5 linked regions of the Macaca mulatta genome follow. The protein of the gene in region 3 interacts with the protein of the main gene of each other region in a biochemical or structural test. Links are inferred from orthologs where the notes say so. Each region holds a gene or a part of one and is shown on either strand. Other genes may lie near its edges. The genes, in order: SYNJ2BP, DLG4, RALBP1, DLG1 and RALA.

Region 1 (4,055 bases), on a different chromosome or scaffold from region 3:
CCCAAAGTGCTGGGATTACAGGCGTGAACCACTGCGCCCAGCCTCCACTATTCCATCTTTACTTCTCTCAGAGTGAGCAAACAAGAGGCCTTCCTGCCGAATCTGCCCCTATCTCCTTCTGTTTGGTAAACATAGTTGCTGCTGCTTTGGTTTTTTACTATAAATTTGAATGTCTTTATATTGGCCTTGCACTTTCTACTCCTCTAAGATCCCCACCAATCGCTGTGGTCTAACTCCAGGTTGCTTCACAAGGTTGTCACCTTCCTGGTTCTTTAGGCTTTTGTGTTTTTGACCCCTGAAGTTTCATTCAAGTTCAGTTTGGAATATCTCATTCCAAAAGTCAGGAAGACTGGCCTAAAGTTATACCTAAGTCGTGAGTTAACCTTATTGTAAGAGTTAAAACATTAAAAAGACTGAATTTTCCCAGTTGCCAAAAGGATGAGCCATTCCCCTAGTCCCCTTTCTTAAAAAATTTTCTTGAGCAAATTCTAATTATAATCCGTGTGTGTGTGTGCGTGTGTGTGTGTGTGTGTGTAACTTTTTAAAAGCTAAATAAGCCTCTTGTCAGATAGAACCCAGGAATCTTTTTCTTCAGGTCCCGGGAGCCAACTCCTTGAAATGTAACTATCAAGGTAGACAGTGCCCCTATGATCCACGCTCGCGGGAGTTACCCTAAGCGACTTGCTCCAAGCCGTAAGTACCTGTTTGTCACAGAGATAACGTTTTATTTTTCCTTTGGATAAAGGCAATTAACCAACACAGACGGCCACTCCAACGGTGAACTACCAAAAATTGAATATCAAACCATGTTAACTCGTCTTACTTGAGAACGTGCGTGTGCTTTAGCTACATAAAAGGTGATATTGTTGTCTCTCTTTGCAATCTCATTAGTGGATTGCCTGTGACACTCATTCCGGTCTGGTTCGATGTTTACAGAATAATACAACTTTTTTTTCTTTTCTAAATTTGTGGAGATTTTCTAGGATGGCAGGGGATTTTTTTAAAAAATTTTTTCTCGACAATATCAATTTATTTAGGTCCCTTACTTTTACTAGCCACCCCTTCCCACCTCCTTCCAATGGCAAATTAGAATAACTTGCCCCTTGCTCACCTCATGCGTGGCCTTGGGAACTGGTGAGAAACTGCAATCCGTTGGCGGCAGGAACCACGATTCCCAGCATTCCCAGCGCTCTGAGTCCTTCGGGCTTCCTTTTCCGGGTCTCGAGGCTGCTGAAACCGAAAGTGCTGTGCTGTGGGCAGCAGCGCCGAGATTGATTCACCTTCTCCTGTGCGGAACTCCAGCTGACCCGAGTAGGAAGCCAGACGAGCTGTAAATCATGAACGGAAGAGTGGTTTATTTGGTCGCTGAGGAAGAGATCAATCTTACCAGAGGACCCTCAGGTATGTGCGGAACGGGTCATATCTGATAGTAGGGGATTAGAGGGTGTAATTGCAGACATCTCTGCTGCTGAGCCGGATTCACCTGGCCTCGGGGCAGGCCCCAACCTAGAGGTTTCGTGCAACGCTTTGGGGTGCTTAGAGAAAATATGTTGAAATCCATCATTAGCCAGATACGGATCTGAGGAATCCACCTCAAAATCCAGTCGGATGACCACAAATATATATAGTCACGAAAGGGTTCTTTCTGCAAATCGTGCTAGAAAAGTCTTTTTAAAAGTCTGCTTTTTTAGCCTGCTTGTCGTGGACACCACATCCTTCCTACCGTTGCCTGTTCTATCCTTCACGCTATGAGGGACCGTTTAGTAAAATGGGAGCATAAGCGGTGTAGACTCTGAATGCATAGCCGTTTTCCTGCAGCTAGGATCCCTCCCTCGCTCCTTTGATTTCTGGGAAATTCATTTACAGTGCCAACTAGAATGTTAAAGCAGGAAGAGCCCTTAGAAATCTTTTATTACACAGGTTCTCAAACTTGGTTCCGCCACAAAATTTCCCAGGGCTTTAAAAAAAAAAAAAAAAAAGGCCGGGCGCGGTGGCTCAAGCCTGTAATCCCAGCACTTTGGGAGGCCGAGACGGGCGGATCACGAGGTCAGGAGATCGAGACCATCCTGGCTAACACGGTGAAACCCCGTCTCTACTAAAAATACAAGAAAATTAGCCGGGCGAGGTGGCGGGCGCCTGTAGTCCCAGCTACTCGGGAGGCTGAGGCAGGAGAATGGCGTGAACCCGGGAGGCGGAGCTTGCAGTGAGCCGAGATCGCGCCACTGCACTCCAGCCTGGGGCACAGAGCAAGACTCCGTCTCAAAAAAAAAAAAAAAAAAGAAAAAAAAAGAAAAAAAAGTTAATTCTTATCTCCTATCTGCAGGGATTTGGATTCAGTACGGATTTATTTTATTTATTTATTTATTTAAGTTTTTTTTATGAACACCTCATGTGATTTTGAGCAGCCAAACTGCTATCCTCTTACCCCACTGAGGCTCTTCATTAAACTGGGCTCTTGACATTACTACATTCTGCCTTCTTTCGACTTTGTTTATTTTCCTTTACAGCTATTTAGTTGATCGATTAAGAGCTTTAGCTTTGGAATTACAGTATCTGGGTTCAAATCTTGTATCTAACCGCTTACTGATTCTTTGATACTTATTGGCTCACCTAACTGATGTAAGCCTTAGGTTATCATCTCTAAAATGGGGATGGTTATAAATATACTTCATAGTGTTGTGAGAATGAAATGAGTTAATCTATGTAAAATGTTTACAATATTGCCTGACCTATGGTAAGCAGTATGTGTTTCCTACTGTTGTTATTGTTTTTTTTTCTTTTTTTGGAATGAAAGTCCTCACATATTTATTACTGAACCCAGCCAACCAATGCATTCATAATAGATTCAGAGAGGAAAATACGTCGAACTCTCCAGAGAGTGGTGACATTTTCAGTTTGATATGGTAATGTGATCGTGACCTTCAGACAGCACAAATATATGTGCCATCTCATGTGCAATTCCTTATAGACCCAGCTTGGTTCTTCTCCAATGTCTCCTTTTGGAGTTGTACCTTATTTTATTTCCAGTTTTCATCCGAATCCACTGGGGAATGGGACGATTTTGCTTTTGTTTCTTGGCCAGGAATCGCTTAATCCTGAAAGTCTTGTGAGAAGACATGGCGAGAAGTGGAAGCAAGAACACACCACGATGGCGGAGAAAGGAAAAGAGGGGGTACTGTTGTTATTGTTAATGGATAAATAGCTAAACTGACACAGTAGATCCTACTAATACTGTATTCCAAGAGTCTCTAATAAATCATCAGGTACTATGAGCTCCATCTCTGAAATGTTCCTGAAATCCTTTCACTCCTTTTTCCCTTGCCACCACCTAGGACAGCCCATCACCTTTTCTCACTGCAGTTCTGCAGTAGCTTAATCATCATGGATAGATTATTCTTTATAAAATATAACTTTCAGAATTATCCATACTTTGTGTCTTTTTTTCTTTTCTTTCTTTCTTTTTCCTTTCTTTTTTGAGACAGGGTCTCACTCTGTTGCCCAGGCTGAAGTGCAGTGGCATGATCTCAGCCCACTGCAGCCTCTCCCTCTTAGGCTCAAGCAATCCTCCCACCTTAGCCTCCTGAGTAACTGGTACCATGGGTGTGCACTGCCAGGTCTGGCTAATTTTTTTGTATTTTTGGTAGAGACAATGTTTTACTACATTGCCCAGGCTGGTCTTGAACTCCAGAGTTTAAATGATCCACCCACCTCTGCCTCCCAAAGTCCTGGGATTACACGTGTGAGCCACTGTGCCTGGCCTTCCTTTCTATTATAAATAATTGGAAGTTGGTTTTACTTATTGTAATATAACCCATCACTAATATCATTATTAATATTATTATTATTTTTTTTTAGAGACGAGGTCTCGCTTTGTTGCCCAGGCTGGTCTTGAACTCCTGGACTCAGGCAGTCCTCCTACCTTGGCCTCCCAAAGTGCTGGGATTACAGTCATGAGCCACCATGCCTGGCCTATCACTAATCTTAATGGATTAGTGTCATGGATTATGTGCGCCTAAACTTTTGTCAAAGGTTCATTTGGTATGCCCAAGTTTCTT
Region 2 (4,170 bases), on a different chromosome or scaffold from region 3:
CTGTGGATGCTAGGAGTGAGGGAAAGAAGACTAGAGATGCTTTTTGTAAGGCAGGGCCATTAAATCCCTGAGCAGGGGGAAGAGGAGGTAGGGAGCCTGAGGGGTGGTAGTTAGTACAGAGCTACTGTGGATCAAAGCTTAGGAGCAGAAGAGGGTGGAGGGAGAGAGTGTTGGAGGCCATAAGCATGGGGTGGAGGTCTCAAGACAAGGCCTCACCTGGGGAACAAGAGAAGCCCCAATTTTCAGAAGAGAGGGGGAGTTGATTGAGAAGTGTAAGATTGTTACTTGAGAATAATCTTGAGGGTATGAAGGCAGGGTAAGGGAGAATGGTGATACACTCTCTGGGGAATCAGAAATTGAGATGGAGTAGCTGGGTGCGGTGGCATGTGCCTGTAGCTACACAGGAGGCTGAGGTGGGAGGACTGCTTGAGCCCAGGAGTTCAAGGCAGCAGTGAGCTATGATCACACCACTGCGCTCCAGCCTGGGTGACGCAGCGAGACTCTGTCTCGGGAAAAAAAGAAAAAAAGAAATTGCGATGGAGGATGAGGCCACGACATTGGTAAGGGATGGGGCTGGAGGGTGTGATAGGGCCAGGGAAGCGGATGGAGAATGGAGGCTGGAGGCTAGGGTTGGAAGATGGATGTTGAAGGGCGAGACAGGGATGGAGATGGAGCGTGTGGGATGCGGGCAGAGACAGGGATGGGAAGCAAATGAATGTCGTAGTGGATGAAGGTGGGTGTGCTGGGAAGGAGGTTCCAGGATAGGGATGGGATGGGGATTGAGGATAGGCTATGGGATGGAGGATGAACACGTGGATGAGATTTTGGCAGTCAGTGGCTGTTGGTTGGACAACAGCATTTGCTGAGATGTGAAGGGTTGGAGGGTGGTGTTAATCGATTTATGGGTGTGAAACCTGTGATACAGCTTGAAAATGGTTGGTAGTTTGTAGGCTTGGGAAATAGCACTAGGAGAGGGGAGGGACCCCTTTGGACGGGGAGAGCGGGAAGGAGACTGGGGAATCCTTGGGCTTGGGCTACTGCAAATACATGTTTCTTTAAGGAGGAAGTAGGTTGGGGACCCCGGAAGGAGGCTCTTGGCGGCCTCCCCCCATTGCCATAGAGACGTGGCTTCGGTTGCCCTGGCAATTGGGGAAGCCCCTAGGACCAGCCTAAAGCTGGCCCCGCCTGGGAGTCTAGAGACCAGGCGATTGACGTCAGGGACCTGGGCACGCCCCACTTTAACCCCTTCCCGAATGAAGTTGGGGGAGGGAATAGATGAGCGGGATAGGACCCGGATGTCTTTCACCACTCCCCCTTCCTGACGTCCTTTGCACTGCGTAGGGTGAGGGGCGTAGGGGAGCGAGGAAGGCAGGTTATTCAGAATGCGCTGCGCCCACAAACCTCTTCAGGCCGGCCTCCTCTCGGCCTGGCTAACGCTGGGCGGGGCCCAGGGCAGAAGAGGCGGGGCTAGCGGAAACCTTCTGCGCTCAGGAGTTTGGTCGGCCTCAGGCCACGCCCCACCCCCCTGTTGTCCTGACGACGGGGCCTCCTGGAGGTGGGTCTCCCCGGGTCTTGGCTGGTCCTAGATACCGTTGCTAGGCAACACGGTCCCTAGAGGAAGGGGTGGATTGGACGTCTGGTTGGTGAGACCAAGGGAGGGGTCTGCAGCTGGGGGAACCCCGGATTCCCGGGGTGCAGGGTTTAGGGCAAATGTGTGTGAAGGTGAGGGACAAGTCTAGGGGAGGATTATGATAATATCCGGGTAGTTATGGGGGGATTGGGGGGGGATGGGGCAGGAAGTGGGTACCAGGACCCGGTGGACATGATCCCTGGGTTGTCCATGTGTAGCACATAAGGCATGTAACACCCTGTGGTGTTACATCCGGTGAGAAGCTCCCTTCCCCCAAGCCTACCCCCCTCTCCCCACTCTTTGCCATCTGCTGCTCCCCTCTCCGTCTGGCTGTCTCCCTTCCCGCTTCTCCTACACCTCCTTCCACATGCAGGGGGCCCCGGGCTGGGCAGAGTTAGATCCATGTGCTTGTGCATCTGTGCGTGTGTGTGTGCGTGCGCATGTGCACGCGTGTGCGTGTGTGTGTGATGTGGAGTGAGACTGGGCCCTTGAGCAGCTCTCAGCGTGGCAGAGTGGGCTTGGCTAAGAGGCTGAAAGGGTAGCCACGCTGATGGGACCCTCCGTTACGGGCTCCCTCTCGAGTCAAGGCTCAGGTGGCTTTTTGTCTCTTGTTTCCCCAAACAGGCCAATTCTCCCCCTGTGATTGTCAACACAGATACCCTAGAAGCCCCAGGATATGTGAGTTGTTTAGATTTTGGGGCTAGGGCCATTGCAGAAGGAAGGAGGGAGTAAGGGAGGGAAGCAGATGACGGGCAGGTTGTGAGGCAGGAATGTCTGTCTCACTGCTTTTGTGTTTCTGTCCCGTGCTGGAGTTGCAGGTGAACGGGACCGAGGGGGAGATGGAATACGAGGAAATCACATTGGAAAGGGTGAGCAGGCTCCTCCATTGGCAGTCCCCTTGGCCCCCCATCTGTACCTTTCTTTCTGCCCATGTGGTCTGCGTGGCCAGCCCCTCACCCTATCCCTTCCTGCTCTGGCTGCTCCAAGACATTTCCCACCCCACTTGCCTTGCCAGACTTGGGCAGTGAGGGGAGCTGACCCTCTTCCCCTCCTTCGCCCAGGGTAACTCAGGTCTGGGCTTCAGCATCGCAGGTGGCACTGACAACCCACACATCGGTGACGACCCGTCCATTTTCATCACCAAGATCATTCCTGGTGGGGCTGCGGCCCAGGATGGCCGCCTCAGGTGAGGAGAGGATACAGGGGTTAGGATGCTTGGTCCCTGGAGAGGGAGGGCCAGGGCAGCAGGAAGCTCTTGGCTCAGGCCCACCTTGCTGCTCCCAGGGTCAACGACAGCATCCTGTTTGTAAATGAAGTGGACGTGCGCGAGGTGACCCACTCGGCAGCGGTGGAGGCCCTCAAAGAGGCAGGCTCCATCGTTCGCCTCTATGTCATGCGCCGGAAGCCCCCAGCTGAGAAGGTCATGGAGATCAAGCTCATCAAGGGGCCTAAAGGTAGTAACTCATTTTGTTCCCCCATCCCAACTGTCCTGTGCCCCCAAGCCTGCTTCCTGGGCACCTGGGCACCCACCTCTGGCCTCCCCTCCATCCAGGTCTTGGCTTCAGCATCGCAGGGGGCGTAGGGAACCAGCACATCCCAGGAGATAATAGCATCTATGTAACAAAGATCATCGAAGGGGGTGCTGCCCACAAGGATGGGAGGTTGCAGATTGGAGACAAGATCCTGGCGGTGAGGACCCCATCTAGTCCATTTTCTAGCCCAAATCTGGGTCTCACCTACTAGCCCTGGCAGGCGCAAGTTCATCACTTCATCCCAGTCCATCTGTCTTGGGCCATTTGTGGCTTTGTCTGAGCTTTGCTTTCCTTGACTCCAGGTCAACAGTGTGGGGCTAGAGGATGTCATGCATGAAGATGCTGTGGCAGCCCTGAAGAACACGTATGATGTTGTCTACCTAAAGGTGGCCAAGCCCAGCAATGCCTACCTGAGTGACAGCTATGCTCCCCCAGACATCACAACCTGTGAGAGCCCTTCAAACGCCAAAGCTCCCCATGACCCATCCCGTTTAACCCATGACATGCAGTCCCATGACATCCCTGTAGCTGTCCCTCTTCAGATATTCCCAATGAAATAGCCACAACCGAGACGGGCGGATCACGAGGTCAGGAGATCGAGACCATCCTGGCTAACACGGTGAAACCCCGTCTCTACTAAAAAATACAAAAAACTAGCCGGGCGAGGTGGCGGGCACCTATAGTCCCAGTTACTCGGGAGGCTGAGGCAGGAGAATGGCGTAAACCCGGGAGGCGGAGCTTGCAGTGAGCTGAGATCCGGCCACTGCACTCCAGCCCGGGCGACAGAGCCAGACTCCGTCTCAAAAAAAAAAAAAAAAAAAAAAAAAAAAAAAAAAAGAAATAGCCACAACCTCTGATCCTTGCTGTTGTCAGAGAAGAGATGGAAAATCAATTACCATAAAAGAACTAGAAAAGATCGTCAATGATCTCTCCCATGGAAGGCACAAAACCTGTTTGGTTTTATGGCTAATTTTATGAAATTCTCAAGGAATAGATAATTCTTCTGCT
Region 3 (3,514 bases):
TTAGAAAATAACTCCCATTTTCTTACTTTTAATGACAATATGGGTAAACCATAAGTGATAATAACTGAAATTCTTGGCAAAGATTTTTTCTCTTCCTCATGTATATTTAATTCGCCCCCCTGCAGTACCTACCCAACAAACTGTACAAGTAGACAATTAGAATGTGTGTTTGGTTTGCCATTACTCCAAAACTGTTATCAAAATGTTTTTCTTTTAAAAATTGGACACTACAAATAAAGTGTTCCACAGAAAGACAGAAAGAGCATACGGGTACACTTTAATGCAAAAAATACAAGAAAATGTAGATGAATAAATTAAAATGTATAAAATCACTTAAATTGTCTTTCATATTCGTTTAAAATTAGATAAGCAAGAACTAAAACTTCCAGCAAAAGGTCTTAAAATGAATAAGTGAGAACTAACATCTCTAGCAAAAAGCAGTGTTATTAGCAGCACTGTCCATGACAGTAGTATAAGTTGGGCTGACTACAGCACTCTGCCACAGGTTAGAGAATAAACCCAGAACTCAACAGAGCAGGAGCTCAGCCCCCAGCTGTTGCAATATGGGCAGCAGCTCAATCTGAATGCTTTACACACAGAGAAGAGGAGTTCTATGACTGAATTTCCAAAAAAATGCAGACATTAAAAAGTAGGTCAGAGACAAAAAGAATCCTTTGAACAAAGCTGTAGAAAATTTTCAGAGAAACTTTTACCTAAAACAAAACTAATTCATGGCTACTAAGACCATGTGAGAGAAGCAACTTACATTATTAATGTTTAAATGTTTAAAGAATCAATTCGGTATATTATTCTTTTTTTTTTTTTTTTTTTGAGATGGAGTCTTGCTCTGTCTCCAGGCTAGAGTGCAGTGCCATGATCTTGGCTCATTGTAACCTCCACCTCTTGGGTTCAAGCTATTCCCCTGCCTCAGCCTCCCAAGTAGCTGGGACTACAGGCGCACGCCCCCACGCCTGGCTAATTTTTTGTATTTTAGTAGAGACAGGGTTTCACCATGTTGGCCAGGATGGTCTCAATCTCCTGACCTCACAATCTGCCTGCCTCAGCTTCCCAAAGTGCCGGGATTACAGGCATGAGCTACTGCACCTAGCCAATTATTCTTAAAAATCAATTAGTTTAAATATGTTTATATAATACTAAGGAGTTATAAACTCAAATTCAATGCCTAATTTATTTCATTTTCTATAAAAAAATAACATTTTAGTCAAAATATTCTTAAACAATGGCATGTAATCTAGTGGATTATGTAACGGTTTTCCCAATTATCAAAAATATCTGCCCAAGGCCGGGCGCGGTGGCTCACGCCTGTAATCCCAGCACTTTGGGAGGCCGAGACGGGCGGATCACGAGGTCAGGAGATCGAGACTATCCTGGCTAACACGGTGAAACCCCGTCTCTACTAAAAAAAAAAAAATACAAAAATTAGCCGGGCGCGGTGGTGGGCGCCTGTAGTCCCAGCTATACGGGAGACTGAAGCAGGAGAATGGCTTGAACCTGGGAGGCGGAGCTTTCAGTGAGTGGAGATGGCGCCACTGCACTCCAGCCTGGGCGACAGAGAGAGACTCCGTCTCACAAAAAAAACAAACAAAAAAAAAACTGCCCTTTCTCAGCAAAACTTAAATATCAAATCTACCTTCTAGAATTGCATATGAACCAATTAAATGAAAAAACTAAGTTTAATCTATCTATTCTACATGTGTATGACTTAACAACTCATCATGAAAATACATGTGACCAACAAGTATTATTATTATTTTTGAGACAAGGTCTCACTCTCGCCCTGGCTGGAGTGCAGTGGTACGACCATGGCTCACTGCAGCCTCAAACTCCTGGGCTCAAGTGATCCTCCTGCCTCAGTCAACAATTAATTTTATAAAATAAATCTCTAAACAGAAACTGGTGATGTACCAAGAAACTGAATAATGGCAATGTAATAATTTGGAACACAGATGCTGCTACAGGTCAGGGCTTTCATCCTATCCTGGTATAAAAGTCATACTGCTTTGTAAGAAATCTTTTTTACTTTTAAAACTATACATATTGCTTGATTTAGATACCCAATCAAAACACACTCTTGCCAAATATGAAATTTAATTTGTATACATGTGGAATAAAGATAAATAGAAAATCAGTGATGCTAATATATGTAATAGTCGCATGTAGCTGACCAAAGCATTCACATATAGGGCCTAAACACTGACCACGTCTTGGTCTTTTAGCTAAAGTCAGGTGTAGTATCTGTTCCAAGATTTCTGGAGCAGGGAGACGGAACAGAAGCTCGCTTGGACCACTCCATGTATTGACCGGGTATTGCAGTACCTCTATGAACCGTGCACCAAGAAAACAAAAACCAAAACCATTTCACACCTCTTAGCTGAGCTAAGGAAATGCATTATATGACTGTGTCCATAAACGTGACTCTTGGCCAAGAAGATTCCTTCACAGTGTTAACTTTCCTTTTCTTGCTGATGACCCTTGTATCACTGAGCCTCTGCTTACAGAGGAAAGAGGAAAAAAAAAAAAAAAGCAGGCGCCTGGGAGTGGTGGCTCACACCTATAATCCCAGCACTTTGGGAGGCCAAGGAGGGCAGATCATCTGCGGTCAGGGATTTAAGACCAGCCTGGCCAATATGGTGAAACCTTGTCTCTACTAAAAATACAAAAATTAGCTGGGTGTGGTGGTACATGCCTATAATCCCAGCTACTCGGGAGGCTGAGGCAGGAGAATCACTTGAACCCAGGAGGCGGAGGTTGCAGTGAGCTGAGATCATGCCACTGCACTCCAGCCTGGGCGACAGAGCGAGATTCTGTCTCGAAAACACAAACAAACAAAAGAAAAAGAAAAAAAAGAGTCTGAATGCAGCCCTGTTAAGCAATGCTACCAGTATACTTCACTTCGCTTTACTCCTGGCTGCTGCGAGCTACAAACAACTAACGTGACATCCTCCTAATGGAAGGAAACATAAAAAACCAAATGCTGGAACACCAAAGAAAGGCTGGGGAGAGGGGTGGATTTCTGTGCAACTGGGAGGATCGAGGAAATGAATAAAGCTTAGGATCCAGGCCAAATTGTCCTCACAATATTTTTTCTTCCTTTGAAAAATGAAAGTGAAGTTAATTATTAAAAACCACCAAGTGAAGTGCACATTCCCAGTACCTGATACTCTGTAGATGCCTTCACACTTCATGCCATACTTCTCTACGTAATCTATACATTCACGGAAAACGGCTGGCAGCCGAATGCCATCATACATCATGGTCCTCTCTACTGCATCAGCCAAAGGAATTCCAAAAATGGGTTTGAGATTTGGAACATCAATCTGAGGCACCTCTGGCTCCTGAATTGGCTTTTTCTTTTTCTTCTTTTCCTTCCACTGTTTAACAACATCAGCTGCTGTCAAGTCTTTTGACTTCTTCTCTTTATGTTTTTCTTCTTTGTGCTTTTCTTCTTTATGCTTTTCTTCTTTGGGTTTCTCTTTTATTTTAAAATCCTTTT
Region 4 (3,514 bases), on a different chromosome or scaffold from region 3:
GGCTGAGACAGTTATTGATTGATATGGTATGGCTCTGTGTCCCCACCCAAATGTCATCCTGAATTGTAATCCCCACGTGTTGAGGGAGGGACCTTGTAGAAGGTGATTAGATCATGGAGGTGGCTCCCGATGATACTCTCTTGATAGTGAGTGAGTCTCATGAGATGAGACTGTTTTATAAGCATCTAGCATCTCCCCTGCTGGCATGTGAAGAAGAGTGTGTTTGCTTTCCCCCACCCCCAACACCATGATTGTAAGTTTCCTGAGGCTGGTGAGTCCATTAAACCTCTTTCCTTTATAAATTACCCAGTCTCGGGTAATTCTGCATAGCAGTGTGAAAACAAACTAATACACTGATGAAGATTAGACAAATAAATTGCAGTATAGACATACAGTGGAATATTACATAGAGATAAAATGAATGAACTTTAGCTCTAAGCAATGATATGGGTAAGTCTTAGTAAAACAATATTAAGCAAAAAAAATACTGGAGACGAAAGTCTCATACAGTGCAACAGCGTTCTGAAAAACCTTCAAAAGAATACTAAACAAAATTATTTAGGCATATGTATGTAATTAAACTTTTTTTTTTTTTTGAGATGGGCTCTCACTCTGTCACCCAGACTGGAGTACAGTGGGACAATCACAGCTCACTGTAACCTCAACCTCCTGGGCTCAGGTGATCGTCCCACCTCAGTCTCCTGAGGAGCTGGGACTATAGGTGTGTATCACCAGGCCTGGCTAATTTCTGTATTTTTTGTAGAGACAGGGTTTTGCCATGCAGACCAGGCTGGTCTTAAACTCCTGGGTACAAGCAATCTGCCTACCTCAGCCTCCCTAAGTGCCAAGATTACAGACAGGTGTGAGCCACCATACCTGGCCTAATTAAACAATTTTTAAGAAGCAAAGGAATAAGAAACACAAAATGGTTGATGTTCTAATTCTTGAGCTGGGTAATTACTAGATTTCATTATATTATTAAGTGAAGTAAAACACAAAAGGGTCATACATAAACAAATGATGACGCTGTTTTATAAATCTAAGGATTATGATGAAACACTCTGTGCATACAAGCCCTCAACCCTTCAACAACAATGAAGGAATAAAAGGAAAACGGAGGAGGAGCTGGCAGAGAAAACAGAAATGACAAATAAAGATATTACCAAGAATCATTTTTTAGGATTTGATACAGCAAGGCTAGGATTTGCTAATTTAAATATCATTTAGACCTTTTTGGTATGGAGAAATTCCAGTATCTATTAGAAAAATCAGACAACAAAATGATTTAAAAGACAACAGATTTCTATACTTACTGCTAGAAGCTTATCTCCAATCTGGAGTTTGCCATCCTTATGTGCTGCACCTCCTTCAATTATTTTGGTTACATAGATGCTATTATCCCCAGGAATATGCTGATTTCCAACACCTCCAGCAATGCTGAACCCAAGACCTGTTTGGAAAACACTAGTTTTAGATTCTCTTCTATAAATATGAACTTAAGCCCAGAAAAAAATGGTTGAAAACTACAACGTAATAATTCCACCACACTAATATTTTTTAAAATAGAAAAGAATCCATTTAGTTATCTACTAGTGTATGTTCTGCAATCAAGGGACACTTATAAATATAGCTGCTCCTAGAGTTATGAATAGATTCCTTTTATCCCACGTGTTCCTTCTTAGTATCTTCTCGCAAATGCACTTGTTATTCCAAAGTGACATTGCAAAATTATGTTTTACTTTTGTTTCCATCATAATTACGCTCACCTACACTTTCATTATTTTCACTAGAATAAAACAATTGAGAAGAAATAATATCGTCTGGTGGTGGTGGGCAGAACCAACAGGCTTTAAAAATGTGAATACTTTGGCTCTTTTTCAATATTCTATGAATTAACAACTTTAAGTAAGGAATTTCTGTAATTCTTAAATCCCATAGCTCCAACATCAGAAAATTTCTCAGCTCTCCATTCCTTTTTCATTTGTTGAAATCCTCCCTCTTCCATGAAGCCACATATTTAAACTAATATTTCCATTTATCCTCAATCCATCAATGTTTTAAAAATTCAGAAATCACATCTTTTTTTTTTTTTTTTTTTTTTTTTTGAGATGGAGTCTTGCTCTGTGGCCCAGGCTGGAGTGCAGTGGCCGGATCTCGGCTCACTGCAAGCTCCACCTCCCGGGTTCCCGCCATTCTCCTGCCTCAGCCTCCCGAGTAGTTGGGACTACAGGCGCCCGCCACCTTGCCCGGCTAGTTTTTTGTATTTTTTAGTAGAGACGGGGTTTCACCGTGTTAGCCAGGAGGGTCTCCATCTCCTGACCTCGTGATCCGCCCATCTCGGTCTCCGAACGAGAAATCACATCTTAACAGTCCTTTACTGCAGATGTAACTGCTCATAATACATATTAAAAGCACTTCTTCTTTTAACTTAGGCTGTGTATCTGCATTTAAAGTACTTTGTAGATTAATTATCACAAGTTAATATCAATACTATACTTAACTTCAAAGTATTCCAGGACACAAATATTTCACTTTTAACACTAGAAGTCTTTAATGTAATAATACTTAATACCAATAGGGAGAAATCCACTTATAAAACAAGTAGATATTTTGTTCCTTACTTTTAAAAATTCTTAAAAACGTGCTGAGCAAATATTGAATATAAAAATCATAAAAACTTATAAATCTATATATATGCTCACTGAGGTAAAATGTATAAAATGTATAATTGACAAACATAAGAATTTTGGGCCAGGTGCAGTGGCTCACACTGTAATACCAGCACTCTGGGGGGCTGAGGTGGGAGAACTGTTTGAGCCCAGGAGTTTGAGACCAGCCTAGGCAATGCAGGGAGACCTCCGTCCCTACAAAAACTAAAAAAATCAGCCCAGTGTGGTGGCGCGTGCATGTAGTCCAAGCTACCTGGGAGGGTGAGGTGAGAGGATCGCTTGAGCTCAGGAGACTGAGGCTGCAGTAAGCCATGGATGTACCACTGGACTCCAGCCAGGGTGACAGGGCAAAACCCTGCCTCTAAAAACAACCCCCCACCCCAAAAAATAGGAACTTTTCAAATGCTGCAATCTTGGTAGAAATGTAAATATTCTAAAATGCAACGTAGGACAAAAATCAGTAGAAATAACAGAGAAATTAAAATCCACTCAAGTTCTATAGAATATTACTATTATTGTTCATCTTGAAATCTATGTCACAGATAAAGTTCATAGGAATACTTAACTCAGAGATTTCTTAATTTATCTTAGTTTGACTTACCACATACCTTTAGGACCTTTAATGAGCTTTATTTCCATTATTTTTTCTGATACTGGTTTCCTTCTTTTTACATACAAGCGTACGATAGACCCTGCTTCTTTCAACGCTTCAACTGCTTTGCTATGTGTTACATCACGAACATCTACTTCATTTACTCGTAATATACAGTCATTGACCCTGAGAAAACAATTAAATATAAAAAATAAAAATTAAATATAATGTAAATATTAATTTTCCACTTCAC
Region 5 (3,514 bases), on a different chromosome or scaffold from region 3:
GGGCCTGTCTTGGGGTGGGGGTCTGCGGGAGGGATAGCATTGGGAGAAGTACCTAATGTAAATGATGAGTTGATGGGTGCAGCAAACCAACATGGCACATGTATCCCTATGTAACAAACCTGCACGTTGTGCACATGTACCCTAGAACTTAAAGTATAATTAAAAAAAAAAAAAAGAAGAAGAACAGCATTCAGGTCCTCATTCACAAAGGAAACTGGTTAAGAAAGTCACAGCACGCCCTAGAAAAAGAGTGTGATTGGCCAAAATCCTCTTCACAAGTACTGCATATATTTAATAGTAATCATGGTGAAAGTTGACATAGTTTTTGCAAGAAATCATGTGAGTGGTAGGAAGCATCATAGCACTATGTAGTGCTGTACATCTTAGCCTGCATCACCCAGATACCATGCTTATTTGGCATTTTGTTTTCTAAAAGGATGTTTAAGACAAATACAAATCAGTGAAGAATGGCGTTTACTTTCTCTGTGACCCATAGTCTGTGCAGCCTATAGTCTATTCAGGTTAGAAGAACTGAGAGTTCAGTTCCAAAGAACTTCCTTTGAGTGTTGAATGTATTCGAATGTTTGCTACATCATGAGTAATCAAGTGAATGAAGTAATAATAGTAGTAGCACTACCTCATACTCATGCAACACTTACCAGGAGCCAGACTGTTCTAAGCATTCACATATATAAACTAGTTTCTCAAACAACACTGTGAGGTAGATACTACTGGATTTCATAGATTATAAGATGTACATTTTAACAGCTCTCAGGGCTATGTCTTATGATATGGCACCATACAGTTATAATTGCCAGCATTTTTTCTTGGAGTCTATAAAATAAGATTGAGAACAGTGATGTCTTAAATTTGACTTTATTTTAAAAAGCGACATCCAAATTTATAAATGAAGAAGCTGAAATGCAGGGAGGTTAAGTGGCTTGCCCCAGGTCGTGCAGTCAGGAATAGCATAGAGTTAAAATCCAGGAGGTCTGCCTTTGTATTCTCGTGGTATCTAATGTACAAGTTCATTGTGTGCTTTGGAGTTGGATTTCTCAGACCTGGTTCTACTTAAGTGTGACTCTGAGCAAGTTAACATAATTTCTCTGTGTATCAGATTCCTCATCTGTAGGACAAGAATAATAATGATACTAACTTCATAGGTTTAGGTAAGGATTAAATGAGAAAATATGTAAAGTCCTGAAAGTGGTGTTTGGCACATTGTGAACACTGAGTAAAATGTTAGTGGTAGTAGTGTGGTGGTGGTATTTAGGAAACATTGTCTAAGAAGCACAGAATAGAATAATCTGAAAATAAGGGAAGAAGGTTTTTCCCAATTTCTCAAGCATCACTATAGAATGCCTGCAGCCAGGTGCAGTGGCTCACTGCAGTAATCCCAGCACTTTGGGAGGGCGAGGCAGACAGATCACTTGAGCTCAGGCGTTCAAGACCAGTCTGGACAACACGGTGAAACCCCGTCTCTATGGAAAAAAGAAAAAAAAATTAGCTGGGTATGGTGGTGCGTGCCTGTGGTATAGTTGTGCTACTTGGGAAGTTGAGGTGGGAGAATTGCTTGATTCCGGGAGGTTGAGGCTGCAGCGAGCCATGATCATGCCACTGCACTCCAGCCTGGGTGTCAGGGAAAAAAAAAAAAAAAAAGACCTGCAAAACCAAGTGTACTTTGCTGATTTTTGCCATTCTAATATCCCTTTAATTTTCTCATTTTCTCTTATTGTAAAATATAGTCATCCCTCAGTATGGGGTGGGGGGGGATTGGTTCCAGGACCCCTTGTGGATACCAGCATCCATGGATGTTCAAGTCTCTTCTATAAAATGGTGTGGTATTTGCAGATAGCCTATGCACATCCTCCCATGTACGTTAAGTCATCTCTAGATTATTTTTAATAGCTAATACAGTGTAATTGGTAGGTAAATAGTTGTTATTCTGCATTTTAAATTTTGTTTTACTTTTTGTTGTGGCATTTTTTTGGTTTTTGATTTTTTTTTTTTTTTTTTTTTTGAGACAGGGTCTTACTCTGTCATCCAGGCTAGAGTACAGTGATGTAATTGTGGCTCACTGCAGCCTTGAATTCCTGGGCTCAAGTGATCTTCCTGAGTGGCTAGGACTATAGGTGCACACTACTACACCCAGCCAATTTTTTTTTTCTATTCTTTATAGATATGGGGTCTCACTATGTTGCCTGGGCTGGTATTGAACTCCTAGCCTCAAGCAATCCTCCTGCCTCAGCCTCCCAAAGTGCTGGGTTTACAGGTATGAGCCATTGCACCTGGCTGTTTTGGGGGTTTTAAAAGATATTTTTTATTTGCAGTTAGTTGAGTCTGTGGATACAGAGGGCTGACTGTACTTATGTTCCTATAGCTTCAACAGCTCTTAATAATTTCAAAGGAGAGACATTTTTAAGGTAGCAAATTAGTGAACCTAAATCTTACAGATTTCCTTTTGTTCGTTGATTTTATAAGAAAACATTTCTTCCAGTAGATTAATGAGATAACATTTTTTTAATATTTATACTGTTCCATGCAGTTATAAGCACTTCACATTTAACCCTCATAGCAACTTTATAAGGAATGTATCATTGTTAGCTCCATTTTATAGATGAGGAAACTGAGGTAAGAAGTACTTTGCTCAGACTTACATGACTAGGAAGAGCAGAACCATGGTACTTTAAAGTTGATGACACTTTCACAGTGGATAACTTACCTCTCAATGCAAAATTTATGCTCGAGGTCTGACTTCCAGTAATTTCTGGCACATTTGGGTTTTAAAAAACAGTTGGCAGGACCCTTGATATGATGCAATAAGAATAGCACTCTCTTGTTATCTTCCTCCCAAGAACCAATAACCCTGGTTTAATCATGAGAAAAACATCTGACAAATCCCAGTTGAGAGACATTCAACAAACTGCCTGCCAGCAGTCCTCAAAACTATCAAGGTCATTAAAAACAAGGAAAGTCTGAGAACTACCATGGCCAACTCGAGGCTAAAGAGACATGACAAAACTCAATGTCATGTGGCAACCTGGATGGGATCCTGGAACAGAAAAAGGATGTCAGGCAAAAAGCAAGCACATTTGAATAAAGTTTGGACCTTAGTTGCTAATACTGTATCAATATTGGTTCATTAATTGTGATTCGTGTACCATAGTAGTAGAAGATGTTAACAATAGGGAAAACTAGATACGGGGTAAACAAGAACTTTCTGTACTATCCTTATAATGTTATTATTTCTTTTTCATTTTCTCTTATCCAGGGAGCAGATTTTAAGAGTAAAAGAAGATGAGAATGTTCCCTTTCTACTGGTTGGTAACAAATCAGATTTAGAAGATAAAAGGCAGGTTTCTGTAGAAGAGGCAAAAAACAGAGCTGAGCAGTGGAATGTTAACTACGTGGAAACATCTGCTAAAACACGAGCTAATGTTGACAAGGTAACACGTGACTCTCTTTACTACTGCATCATGTTAAAATAGGTTGGTTTGCTTTAACTTGGCTCTCT

The links.
Region 1: the proteins of RALBP1 (region 3) and SYNJ2BP form a complex in vitro, tested with the Homo sapiens proteins (2 studies listed by BioGRID and IntAct, with this or other methods). The link is inferred for Macaca mulatta from reciprocal best matches to the Homo sapiens genes RALBP1 and SYNJ2BP.
Region 2: the proteins of RALBP1 (region 3) and DLG4 interact in a biophysical measurement, tested with the Homo sapiens proteins (2 studies listed by IntAct, with this or other methods). The link is inferred for Macaca mulatta from reciprocal best matches to the Homo sapiens genes RALBP1 and DLG4.
Region 4: the proteins of RALBP1 (region 3) and DLG1 interact in a test that uses a peptide from one of them, tested with the Homo sapiens proteins (2 studies listed by IntAct, with this or other methods). The link is inferred for Macaca mulatta from reciprocal best matches to the Homo sapiens genes RALBP1 and DLG1.
Region 5: the proteins of RALBP1 (region 3) and RALA form a complex in vitro, tested with the Homo sapiens proteins (3 studies listed by BioGRID). The link is inferred for Macaca mulatta from reciprocal best matches to the Homo sapiens genes RALBP1 and RALA.

Annotation. Positions count from the first base shown.
Region 1 is NC_133412.1:143,571,840-143,575,894, reverse strand, and holds the start of SYNJ2BP (synaptojanin-2-binding protein), read left to right. Parts: upstream 1-1,249; 5' UTR 1,250-1,337; coding exon 1,338-1,401; intron 1,402-2,773; exon of another isoform or gene 2,774-2,962; coding exon of another isoform or gene 2,963-3,118; exon of another isoform or gene 3,119-3,169; intron 3,170-4,055. Other genes in the region: large ribosomal subunit protein eL39, read right to left, coding at 2,963-3,118. UniProt on the Homo sapiens protein: Regulates endocytosis of activin type 2 receptor kinases through the Ral/RALBP1-dependent pathway and may be involved in suppression of activin-induced signal transduction.
Region 2 is NC_133421.1:8,688,422-8,692,591, reverse strand, and holds the start of DLG4 (disks large homolog 4), read left to right. Parts: upstream 1-1,370; 5' UTR 1,371-1,555; intron 1,556-1,580; exon of another isoform or gene 1,581-1,710; coding exon of another isoform or gene 1,711-1,722; intron 1,723-2,254; coding exon of another isoform or gene 2,255-2,308; intron 2,309-2,439; 5' UTR 2,440-2,442; coding exon of another isoform or gene 2,443-2,469; coding exon 2,470-2,499; intron 2,500-2,691; coding exon 2,692-2,816; intron 2,817-2,914; coding exon 2,915-3,084; intron 3,085-3,182; coding exon 3,183-3,319; intron 3,320-3,464; coding exon 3,465-3,609; intron 3,610-4,170. UniProt on the Homo sapiens protein: Postsynaptic scaffolding protein that plays a critical role in synaptogenesis and synaptic plasticity by providing a platform for the postsynaptic clustering of crucial synaptic proteins.
Region 3 is NC_133423.1:80,483,931-80,487,444, reverse strand, and holds part of RALBP1 (ralA-binding protein 1), read right to left. Parts: coding exon 3,176-3,514; intron 2,360-3,175; exon of another isoform or gene 2,218-2,359; intron 1-2,217. UniProt on the Homo sapiens protein: Multifunctional protein that functions as a downstream effector of RALA and RALB. As a GTPase-activating protein/GAP can inactivate CDC42 and RAC1 by stimulating their GTPase activity.
Region 4 is NC_133407.1:2,693,643-2,697,156, forward strand, and holds part of DLG1 (disks large homolog 1), read right to left. Parts: intron 3,448-3,514; coding exon 3,278-3,447; intron 1,451-3,277; coding exon 1,314-1,450; intron 1-1,313. UniProt on the Homo sapiens protein: Essential multidomain scaffolding protein required for normal development. Recruits channels, receptors and signaling molecules to discrete plasma membrane domains in polarized cells.
Region 5 is NC_133408.1:88,668,862-88,672,375, reverse strand, and holds part of RALA (ras-related protein Ral-A), read left to right. Parts: intron 1-3,271; coding exon 3,272-3,446; intron 3,447-3,514. UniProt on the Homo sapiens protein: Multifunctional GTPase involved in a variety of cellular processes including gene expression, cell migration, cell proliferation, oncogenic transformation and membrane trafficking.